Linked DNA regions of Caenorhabditis elegans. The protein of the gene in region 2 purifies or fractionates together with the protein of the main gene of each other region. This does not show direct contact. Each region holds a gene or a part of one and is shown on either strand. Other genes may lie near its edges. The genes, in order: gid-7 and C04B4.4.

Region 1 (4,949 bases), on a different chromosome or scaffold from region 2:
TAATTCTTACTGTAGCGCTTGTGTCAATTTACGGGCTCGATTCTCGAAACTGATTAAGGCCCGTAAATCGACACCAGTGCGCTACAGTAGTCATTTAAAGAATTACTGTAGTTTTCGCTACGAGATATTTTGCGCGTCAAATGTGTTGTGCAATACGCAGAGCTCTCAGAATTTTGTGTCCTCAAAAAATCAATTACCTTTATTCAAAATAGTCTTCAATCGATTTTGCGGCAAAATAAAGTCGGATGGAAGAATTTCCTCGAGAAACGCCAACTGGGACTGCCTCTCGGCAACTTGGCTGAAAATTTTCCAATTATTTAGAAAATCGAGTTTTAAAATAAAAATTCTCACTCAATATTCTGATATCGGCAATTTCCGAGCAGGACGTCTTTGAAAAAAGTGTCAAAATAATCAAAATGCTCGGAATGATCAAGTATGACGCCTCGTATCATTTTCTGCATTGTGAACAGAGCGTCAAAGTACTGAAATTGAAAATATTTTGGACACACGATGCACCATGTCACGTGGTGTCAAAGTCCCTCAATTCGGCTTGATCTACGTAGATCTACAAAAAATGCGGGAAAAGAGACGCAGAGTTTTCAACTGATTCCGCATGGTTAAGAACGTGCTGACGCCACATTTTTTGGGCAGAAAATTCCCGCATTTTTTGTAGATCAAACCGTACTCTGACACCATGTGCCAAGTCTAGCACGAACCCTTCCTTTCCGAACTAGGTCAGCTAGTTTGAAGCATTTAACAATATATGATCCATGCTTTGCGGTCTCCTCAGTAATGTGATCATTTGAAGTTTCGAGAATTTGAATCGCCGCGTCGTAGTTTCCTTTGAGAATGTTCGCACGGACTCTGGCACCCGACGTTGTTTCAATTGTGAAGCCCGTCTCTTCAACGAGAGTTTCAACAGAGCTTCTGAAAAAATGGGTCAAAAATACGGTAGCCGGTCTCGACACGACATTTTTTGTTTATTGAAAAAAGACATGCGCCTTAAAATTTCGTAATTTCAAAATTCCAAAATTCCACGTGGTGCGAGGCTGTCCCGTTACGGTTTGGTCTACAAAAAATGCGGGATTTTTTGCCCAAAAAAATGTGATGTCAGCACGGTATTAATCATGCGAAATCAGTTGAGAACTCTGCGTCAAGCCGAAATGAGACACTCTGACACCACGTGTGCTTTTTTTACAAAAAACTCTGAAAAATCGATAAAGAAACTTTAAAGGCGCACACCCGTTTTCATTCAACATAAAAAATGTCGTGCCGAGACCCGAAACTGGTCAAAAACTTACGTCAAGCCGATATTATCCAAAAATTGTGCAATAATTCGAATTGTTGCTTTATCATATTTTCCCAACGCGATTTCCTTTCGAATCACCGACTCGGTTTCTTCGGGATCATCTTGAGATCTGGGGGATAGTTGCTGGAAAAAGTGAATTTTTTTGTTGCATTTCAATCGCGGAACATGATGTCAAAAAGTATCATTTCGGCTTGATCTACGTAGATCTACAAAAAATGCGGGAGTTGAGACGCATATTTCTCAACTGATTTCGCATGGTTAAGAACGTGCTGACGTCACATTTTTTGGGGCAAAAAATTCCCGCATTTTTTGTAGATCAAACCATAACGGGACAACCTGACACCACGTGTCGCTGTGAGACCCTTACCGCATGATTCTGCAATCTTTGTGCTACAGACATCTTCTTACCCTTACGACCAACATCGTCAAGTTGCTCGTCGACAGTCATTCTGGAATTTTTTTTTGAAATTTTTGCCAATTTTCGCGCGCCAAGAATACGGTAGCTGGTCTCGACGCGACAATGTTTTGTTTATTGTCAAAAGGTATGCGCCTTTAAAGAGTACTGTAGTCTAAAACTTTAGGTGCCGCGGAATTTTCGATTTGCAAAAATTGATATGTTTGCAATCGTAAAAACTACAAAAAATCGATTGAAATTGAAGGTTTTGTTATCGTAATTTCGCTAGAAGTCGACATGTCCGCTTAAAGGCACCCAGATTTATTCAGATGGGTCTCGGCGCGAAAAGAGTTTTTTAAAAGTTTTTTTTTTTGCGTTTATCAATGAAATTTCTTGGTTTTTAGCGAGTTTTGTCGTTTTTTTTTTAAATTTTCGTAAAATGTTTAGACAAATTTCATAAGTGCTTTTCCTGCTTGTCGGCTTTAACAGAAAAATGAAAGAAAACGCAAAAACTCCAAAAAATTTTTTTTTCGCGCCGAGACCCATCTGAGTGAATCGATGCGCCTTTAAGAATGAATGACAAAATCTTGTGGCATTACAATAAATACAAATGAGTGTGCGCCTTTAAGGAGTACTGTAGCGCTTGTATCGATTTACGGGCCTGAATCAGTTTCGAGAATCGAGCCCGTAAATCGACACACGCGCTACAGTAGTCATATAAAGAATTACTGTAGTTTTCGCTACGAGATATTTTGCGCGTTAAATATGTTGCGCAGTACGCATTCTCAGCATTTTGTGTTCCCGTAATATCGATTTCTCTCAATTGTTCTCATCATTTGTTAAATTTTGGTGTTTAAAAAAAGAATTTAAATACGAAATTTTATCGGAAAACTAAGAAAAATCGATAAGAAAATTCCGTAACCACAGAAGTTTGAAATTACAGTACTCTTTAAAGGCGCACACACACTTTTGCATTAATTTTATAGAAATTTGTCGTGTTGAGACCTGGTACAGTATCGCAAAATCGTCATATTTAGCTTTTTTTAAATTGCAAACCTCTGTCGCTTGGCCGGGACAACGGCTGGCTCGTCAGCCTCTTCTCCGATGGGTTTCCGAACCACTTTGAGTTGTTAAGTGGGAACGACGCGCCACTGATATTTTGAAAACTACAAAAACGAATTCCAGATTTTCCAGTTGAGACCTAATGACAGTAGGGGGTAGAAAAATTCATAAGAATATATTCGTGCGTATTATTTAGTAAGAATTGTCTTGTCTGCTGCAGACACTCTCTCAGCTGACGACTATCGAACGGAGGCGAGGGGCAGCGAGATATTGTGCAAAAGTGAGAGAGGGAAAAGAGAAAGAGGAGGAATGATGAGGCAGTGGGGACAAACTCTAGACGCAGAGATAAAAACAAACATTCATTCACAGGCTTGTAATTCGGCGTTAATTCACGTTAAATTTAAAAATTAATGGGATAGGGAGATGTTTAAAGTGATGATGATGATGATAAATATTGTGCTTTAAATCTCAATAGTCTGATGGAACAAAAAACGAACAAACAAAAAAAAACAATTAGACATCCACATTGATCGAGGACGCCGAGTGCTCCACATTGACTCCACCACCATTAACTATCTGCGGATTTCTTGGCACATATCCAAGATTGGCGAGCCAGTTGTTTCCGTCGGTACATATCCACTCATGCATACGGTTTCTAACGTCCATGAACATCTTCTTAAACTGGATTCCGTCACCGCGAGACCTGCGGAAATCTACCATGACACGTGGCTTGTCGGGAATATCGCCCATCGTGTACAGACTGACCATCATCGAAACCTCGCGCCACGTGACTAGTAGACGGTAGTCGTCAGTCTCACGAACGCCGAAGCCGGCGTGCTCACTGGCTCGAGCCACTTTTTGGTACGTGGAACGGATGTCGGTGACGACGCAGAAACGTGTCATACGGCACACCATTCGTTGGAGGAGATTCTGAAAATTTTAGGGGGATTTAAACTAAATTCTGGGTTTTTTAATCAAAAAAAAAAGTAAATTTAGCAAAAACCTCTAATTTTGCAACCATTTCCGTGTCATTAGCGAATTTTCATCCTAAAATTATCAAAAATGCCAATTTACGACCGAAAAATTGGAGATTTTAGCTAAAAATCCGCCAATTTCTGACGGTTTTTTCCTAACCGAGTTGGTCTGCGACATATCAATATGCTGAGTAAGCAGAAGATCCTCAGTCTTTGTCGGCTGGGAGAACGAAGCATTCTGTCTCTCCGCCAGAGTGCTCTTCTCGTTCGGAGTCTCCAAGTGACGACGTTTCGCGGAGCATTCGGCTTGTTGAGTGCATGTGCTGGAATATATTGAGCATTTTAACATGAAATTGTGATTTTTTTTTAAATTTAAATGGGGTTCTGGCCTTCCTCATTGCATTTTTCGCAACTAAAATCGAGCCGCGACGCGACACGCAACGCGCCGTAAATCTACACCAGATATGGCCGAAGCCATCTATTAAACTCACATATTCTCATCATTGTTGCGAGCGCGTTTCAGTGGCCGCCCGTTCGGTGTCTCGACTTGACCGAAATTGTGCTGATACCACGGATCCGCTTGGATCTGCTCGATTGTCGCGCGCTTGTCCGTCTTGTCGGTGACGATCTTACGAAGCATGCAGAGGGCTCGAACGTCGATCTTCTTCCACGGTCTCTCGTCGAGGCTCGTGTTGCTGATCCATCCCATGTAGGATTGAGAGGCGCTGAAAAAAAACATTCATTTCGTCAAAAATTAGCTAAAATCTCTGATTTTTGGTGTCTCAACGGTCGGAAAATAGTTTTTATTGTTTTTTCTCGTTTATACACATTTTTCGTTGAGAAATTGCCATTTTTAGCCGAAAAATGTGAAATAAACCATCAAAATATGCTAATTTCCGCCAAAAACGCGATGAAAACGCACTCGCTAGCCCGATCCCACGGAAGCTCCCCGGTGAGCATCGCAATGAGCACAATCCCAGACGACCAGACATCGACGGGCGGCCCACGGTACTTCTTTCCGGCGCAGAGCTCTGGAGCAGCGTACGGAATCGTCCCACAGCTCAAATCCAGCAGTCGCTCCTCTCCTTTGTTCCGATAAAGAGTTGCCATGCCGAAATCCGAGATTTTTAAGACATCTGGAAGATTAAATTTGATAATTTAAGCATTTTAAAATTGACAAAAAAAAAAAAAAGATTCTTACGAGTTCCGG
Region 2 (5,182 bases):
TACTTGTAAAACAGTTCATAAAAGGGGACGACAGAGTAGCAGGAAGCGGAAAAAGCAATTTGTTGGTAAAAATCATTTGCCCAAGATTTTTGAAAACTTTTATACGAAGTTTTATTGTTTTTCAGTAAAAATGAATTGAAGCTTGACAATGAAACACAAAAATGCAAATGTGGCAGCGATTATTCAATAAAATGAGGCAAAAGTTGGATTGCGAAATCCAAAAAAAAAAAACGTGAGAACACCTTTTGCAAATAACCGCAACGCAACAAGAGAGTGCAGGGTGCCCGCCATGTTCTCAATGGAGCGCACATGAACCGACTTCAGAAGTTCGGCCGCGGCCGCGGCCATGACAATGATAATTATTTTACAGGAAAACAAAAAATGAGAGAGAAGGGGTTTTCAAGCAAAACACAAATGCGTCTAAAATATGTTTTTTTTTTCAGATTTTGTGCTCGACATAATAGTTCTGAAATAAAAAAAATAAAACAAAGTAGAATTTCACGGAAAATATGGATTTCATCAAAACATCAATTGTGTTTGTCAGAGACACTATAATGAGTGAATAATTTTCCCTCTTGCCCTTTGCCACCTTGATTGATTGATTTATTAACTTGAAAGTAAATGGAAACATAAATTCAATAGATGATTATTGTCAAGCAATTAATCAGTTTAGTTCTAAAATTGATTTTTACATTTGAAATCATAAGTCAACATTGCTGGTACAAATAATACATTTGAGGATCTCGTGGCATGTTTGAAAGGCCAAAAATTTGGAGATAATGAACAGGGAAAGTCTGACTGTAAATCAGGGATTGGAAGAAGCGTTTTTGTATAGAAATAAGAGCAATTATTTTCCTTGTCTAGTTGGAGAAGATAAACCGGGAAGTACATCGTTCACTTCAGATGTGGAACAGCTATCGAATGATCGAAAGTCTTCGGAATTTCCTATGGAGCTAATCGATGAGCGAACACGATAAACATCAGGATCTGAAAAAACAATTAATTAATAGATTACATAAATGGGCAGAGAAGTTTTCGAATACTGTCACATATATAGTGAATACATATGTACTTACTTGTATTTTTTGGTTGAACAGGTGATGCACGTCCTTCAGAGTTTTGATTAGCTATTGCGAATCGAGACTTTGGAGGATCATTCATGGAGAATCCTTTGAGGTCCAACATTTTGTTCGAAGTCATTTTGAGTGATTGCTTACTATTTTGCTTTGAGCGCGGAGCATTTTTAACCGGATACCAGTGTTGTGGATGCATAATGACTTCCCGTCTCTTTGAAATGGAGTTTGCCGACTCCAGCCGGGTAACATTATTAGTCGTGTTTTCCATGAATCTGATTTTAGGCGATCCATTTTTACTGAGTTGGGATTTTTGATCAGGCCCCGTCTGTTCAAGTCCATTTGAGAAAACTTTTGAGTTCAGCGACGTCATCGACAGTTCCACCGGGAAAGAAGAGGTCATTGGGCATTGATGCTGTCCTGATGCTTTTTCTAGTACTTTTATTCCTTTTGTGAATGCCTCATAATTAATATATGGCAAGTTTCTCGAAGCTGAGACATACTTGTGGCATGGAAATACTGCAAAGAGCCAGGTATGCGAATTGAGAAATCCTACAAATGAATTGAGATCGCTTCCAGTTCTCTGCCGGAATGACTGAGGCATATAATCACTCTGGAAGAGTTGGAATGTGTTTTCAATGGTAGTGACACCACCGTTACGAAGAACGAAGGAAACGAGAATGAATATTGCATCATATACATCTGGTCTCTGAAATTAAAATTTTTGAAACATTAAAATAAAAATTGATGACAAACTTGAAGCTTGACAACATCGTTCCATCCTATTTGAAACCAGTGAGTCCGACATTCAATGAACTTTCGACGTTTTGCATCCGAAGATCCCAAATATTCATTGAGAAAATGATCATTGAATTTGGCCAACTCCTTCAGGATCCTGTCAAAAAATAATTCGTTTTGAATCGACTCCGGTCGTTCAAAAAAGAAAATACCTGCTCATTGATAAGGAGAAAGTACCATGTTCCAGGAAGATTACAAAAAGTCTCAGAAAAGCAATGCATTCTTTTTCCAATAAATAATGATATTCTGGAGCAACAACGAACACCTCCTTTCTTCTGTAGAAGATAAGCTCTGATGCAGGTCCGCAAACCGGGCCAATATTCGTTGCAATAAACGTGTTGTCCAGTTGTCGGATAATAAAAAACTTTAGAACACACCCAACACGCAGAACTGTTGTCAAATCAGTCACACCCTGAAAGAAACGAATGGCATTTGTGTTTTTAGAATCTTACATTTAATTTTTTTTGGTTTTTACTTGTATAAAACATTCCTTAAAACGTGCAAAAGATGGTACGGAAAAAACTTACATTCATGCGTAAATCCACAATTGCAAATGAGCACATTTCACCATCGACAGTTTGAATAACTCCTCTTTCAGGACTGAGAAAAACAATTTTGCCAAAGTCGTTGATGGGAATGTCTACGGTATAATGTCCTGCACTACAAATCGTTTTAAGAACGTCATCGACGCTGAGTTGGCGCCTTCCGGACCTCGACGTCCCGTCAGGTGTTATTGGAACGTTTACTGAATAATTAATATTTATCAAACCATCTTGTCATTTTCCTCTTTTTCTACCAAATGTTTCAGTTTTGAACTATCCTAGCTTATTCTATCACAGTTGCTTCACGCTTTCGATTACTTTTCTGGTTAAGAAAAATATGATTCTCGGGTAAAATTTTATTTTGGACCTATCATGAGAAAAACTTTCCACCTATTTTACCTGCGACTATTTTACTATTTTGACTATACCTTTGTGTAATAATAATAAAAGAAATATCTACTCTATTTGCGGGTGCAATAGCTGAAACTGTAGATCATGTCTGCACTATCGATCATGTGCTTTCACAGAAAATTAGTTTCTTTACTTATAGTTGATTCCAGCTCTCAGATGTTATTCAAAAATAGTACTGCAACGTTGCAAACTTTGAACGAAAAAAATCGAAAAAATTACAAACTAACACTTCAATAGCTTATATTTAAATTTATATATAACCCGTCTTAAAATTTTCAACATGGCGTCGGCAATTTCAAACGCTCAAAATCACAATTCTTACAATTATTCTTTTTTTGGTGTGTTATTTAGCCTAGCGACAATTTCAGATTAGTTTTGTGAAAACCACGCAAAAACTACGTTACATTAGCGAGAATATAGTTTCTAGTTTTAAGGCTACACTCACATGACATCTATAAAACTCGTGAAAATGGATAACCGGAGAACGGAGCCTGGAAAGAGATAGTGACAAGAACTGACAGTTAATCAGTAGCTCCTGCAAATGTGAAGAGTGGCTTCTGAAGTTTTAAACGTGTAAAAAAATGTTTGAGAAAAACTTGAGAACAGCGAAATTAGAAAAAGATAAACATTGATCAAAATTGAAATTAGAAAATACCGAAATCTGTTTTTTCATCCCGTTGATGACTAATACAACAAAGACAGTCTAAACCGTCGTTTTGAAATAAGGAAAATTCAGTGATTAGTTGATATGGCACAAAACATTATAATTGAAAAACGAATATTGAGCATTATTAAAATAAAATTAAAATTAACATTCTGTCAGACAAAAATTAGTCGTATGATTTCACTTCCTCCAACATAACATGACTTTTTTTTGCGTCAATTCTTGTGAGCATAAATTAATGTTCATATCGTGCACGCTAAGTACCGCATTTCTATAAGTTTTCAGCTTGATTTAACTTCTAAAGGAATGTAACAAAAATAAAGGCAAATAAATTTGCCAAAAAATTATCCGAACGTTTCGAAAATTACATCACCAGATTAGAAAAATTCATATTCTGAGATTTAAGATTCAGTGAAAGTTCACTCATGAGATCATATTCTCCAAGTCTATCAAAGTGAGTTCTTGAATCTGAAGTTTTTTTAAATATGAAAAATATTAATTAAAACAATATAAAAATTGAAAAGCTATCCCATATTGAATTTTAAAACTGAAATTAAATGATGTTAAAAAAATACGAGCGCGTACACAGAAACAAAAATCCAGCACGAATGACTACATGTGTTGAATTTGTTTCGAAATGAAGGCCATTCTTATTAAGCACATCTGGTTCCTCAAACTCTATGCAGACTTTTTGGGGCAGGGTGTGTGTTTAAGAAATCGCAGATATTTGTGAACTACGTTGCGATATATGGTGCTGTTTATGGTAATTGTAAAAATCGAGGGTTTGAGAGGTTTTAACAATCCATATTGTTCCTTGAATGATAACTACTGTACTTTGCCTATTAGTGTTGAAGTCCTTACCAGACTTGCACTCAAAATGACCATTTGAAAAATAAAATTGCATGCAATACTAAACTCTAGACTAATTGTATAAATGAGAAAACCTTAGTGCAACGAAAATTAAGCAAAATAATGCTGATCAACAGAGAAAAAAGAAGGTGAGAGCAGTCGTAAGCTTCCATAAATTATTCTACTGTATGATTTTTTTCTGTTTTCCGTTCTGCTCGTGATCTCTCTTTTTTCTATCTGTCCTAATCACCTAATGATTCATCAAAAGTGGTTGTCCTTCGAGGTGGAAAAAATGACACTATTTTTGTTTGTTCCTCCAATTCTTTTACTCGATTGCTAGAGAAGTGGGGTGGAGACACTTTTCGTCATAGGCCACGAGACACCGTATGCTTTTTTATAAACTTCGATGTGGCCAGAGTATTTTTCGGGATCTACGAAATAGCATAGCGGTAAGAAAATAGTTTGGTGTCATTTTTTTTAGTTAATCCTACAAGTTTCTATAGTCTTGAGGTCTCACATAATGTACAATCTAAAATTCCCTCAAACTGCATTAAACAGAACGAACGGTTCTGGGAGTTTTGAACGTAAAATTCCCAACATGTCCGCAAATGAACAAATATCAGAATGAAACTTCTTACTTCAAAAAAAAAAAACTTTTTACATTTGTGTCAAAATTCCAGAAAAGCACTAGAAAAACAGTATGTTGCTCTACAATTTGGTAATCTTATATATCTGTTGTGGAACAAAAATAGTGTTTTCATTTGTCGCAACATGCTCTCCATTTCCTTTTCCCTCTCATTTTCCACTTGTATTGTCCACAGTTCTACATGCACCTTTGCCCCACA

What was found.
Region 1: the proteins of C04B4.4 (region 2) and gid-7 fractionate together in Caenorhabditis elegans (co-fractionation; one large-scale study listed by BioGRID). This does not show direct contact.

What each region holds. Positions count from the first base shown.
Region 1 is NC_003283.11:3,754,040-3,758,988, forward strand, and holds the start of gid-7 (CTLH domain-containing protein), read right to left. Parts: upstream 3,036-4,949; 5' UTR 2,760-3,035; intron 1,759-2,759; 5' UTR 1,758-1,758; coding exon 1,677-1,757; intron 1,433-1,676; coding exon 1,302-1,432; intron 928-1,301; coding exon 717-927; intron 483-716; coding exon 352-482; intron 299-351; coding exon 198-298; intron 1-197. Other genes in the region: Serine/threonine-protein kinase chk-1, read right to left, coding at 3,279-3,695, 3,900-4,062, 4,231-4,464, 4,662-4,875, 4,941-4,949.
Region 2 is NC_003284.9:12,288,933-12,294,114, reverse strand, and holds C04B4.4 (Anaphase-promoting complex subunit 1), read right to left. Parts: upstream 3,277-5,182; coding exon 3,270-3,276; intron 2,617-3,269; coding exon 2,399-2,616; intron 2,284-2,398; coding exon 2,024-2,283; intron 1,969-2,023; coding exon 1,830-1,968; intron 1,783-1,829; coding exon 1,077-1,782; intron 988-1,076; coding exon 848-987; 3' UTR 716-847; downstream 1-715.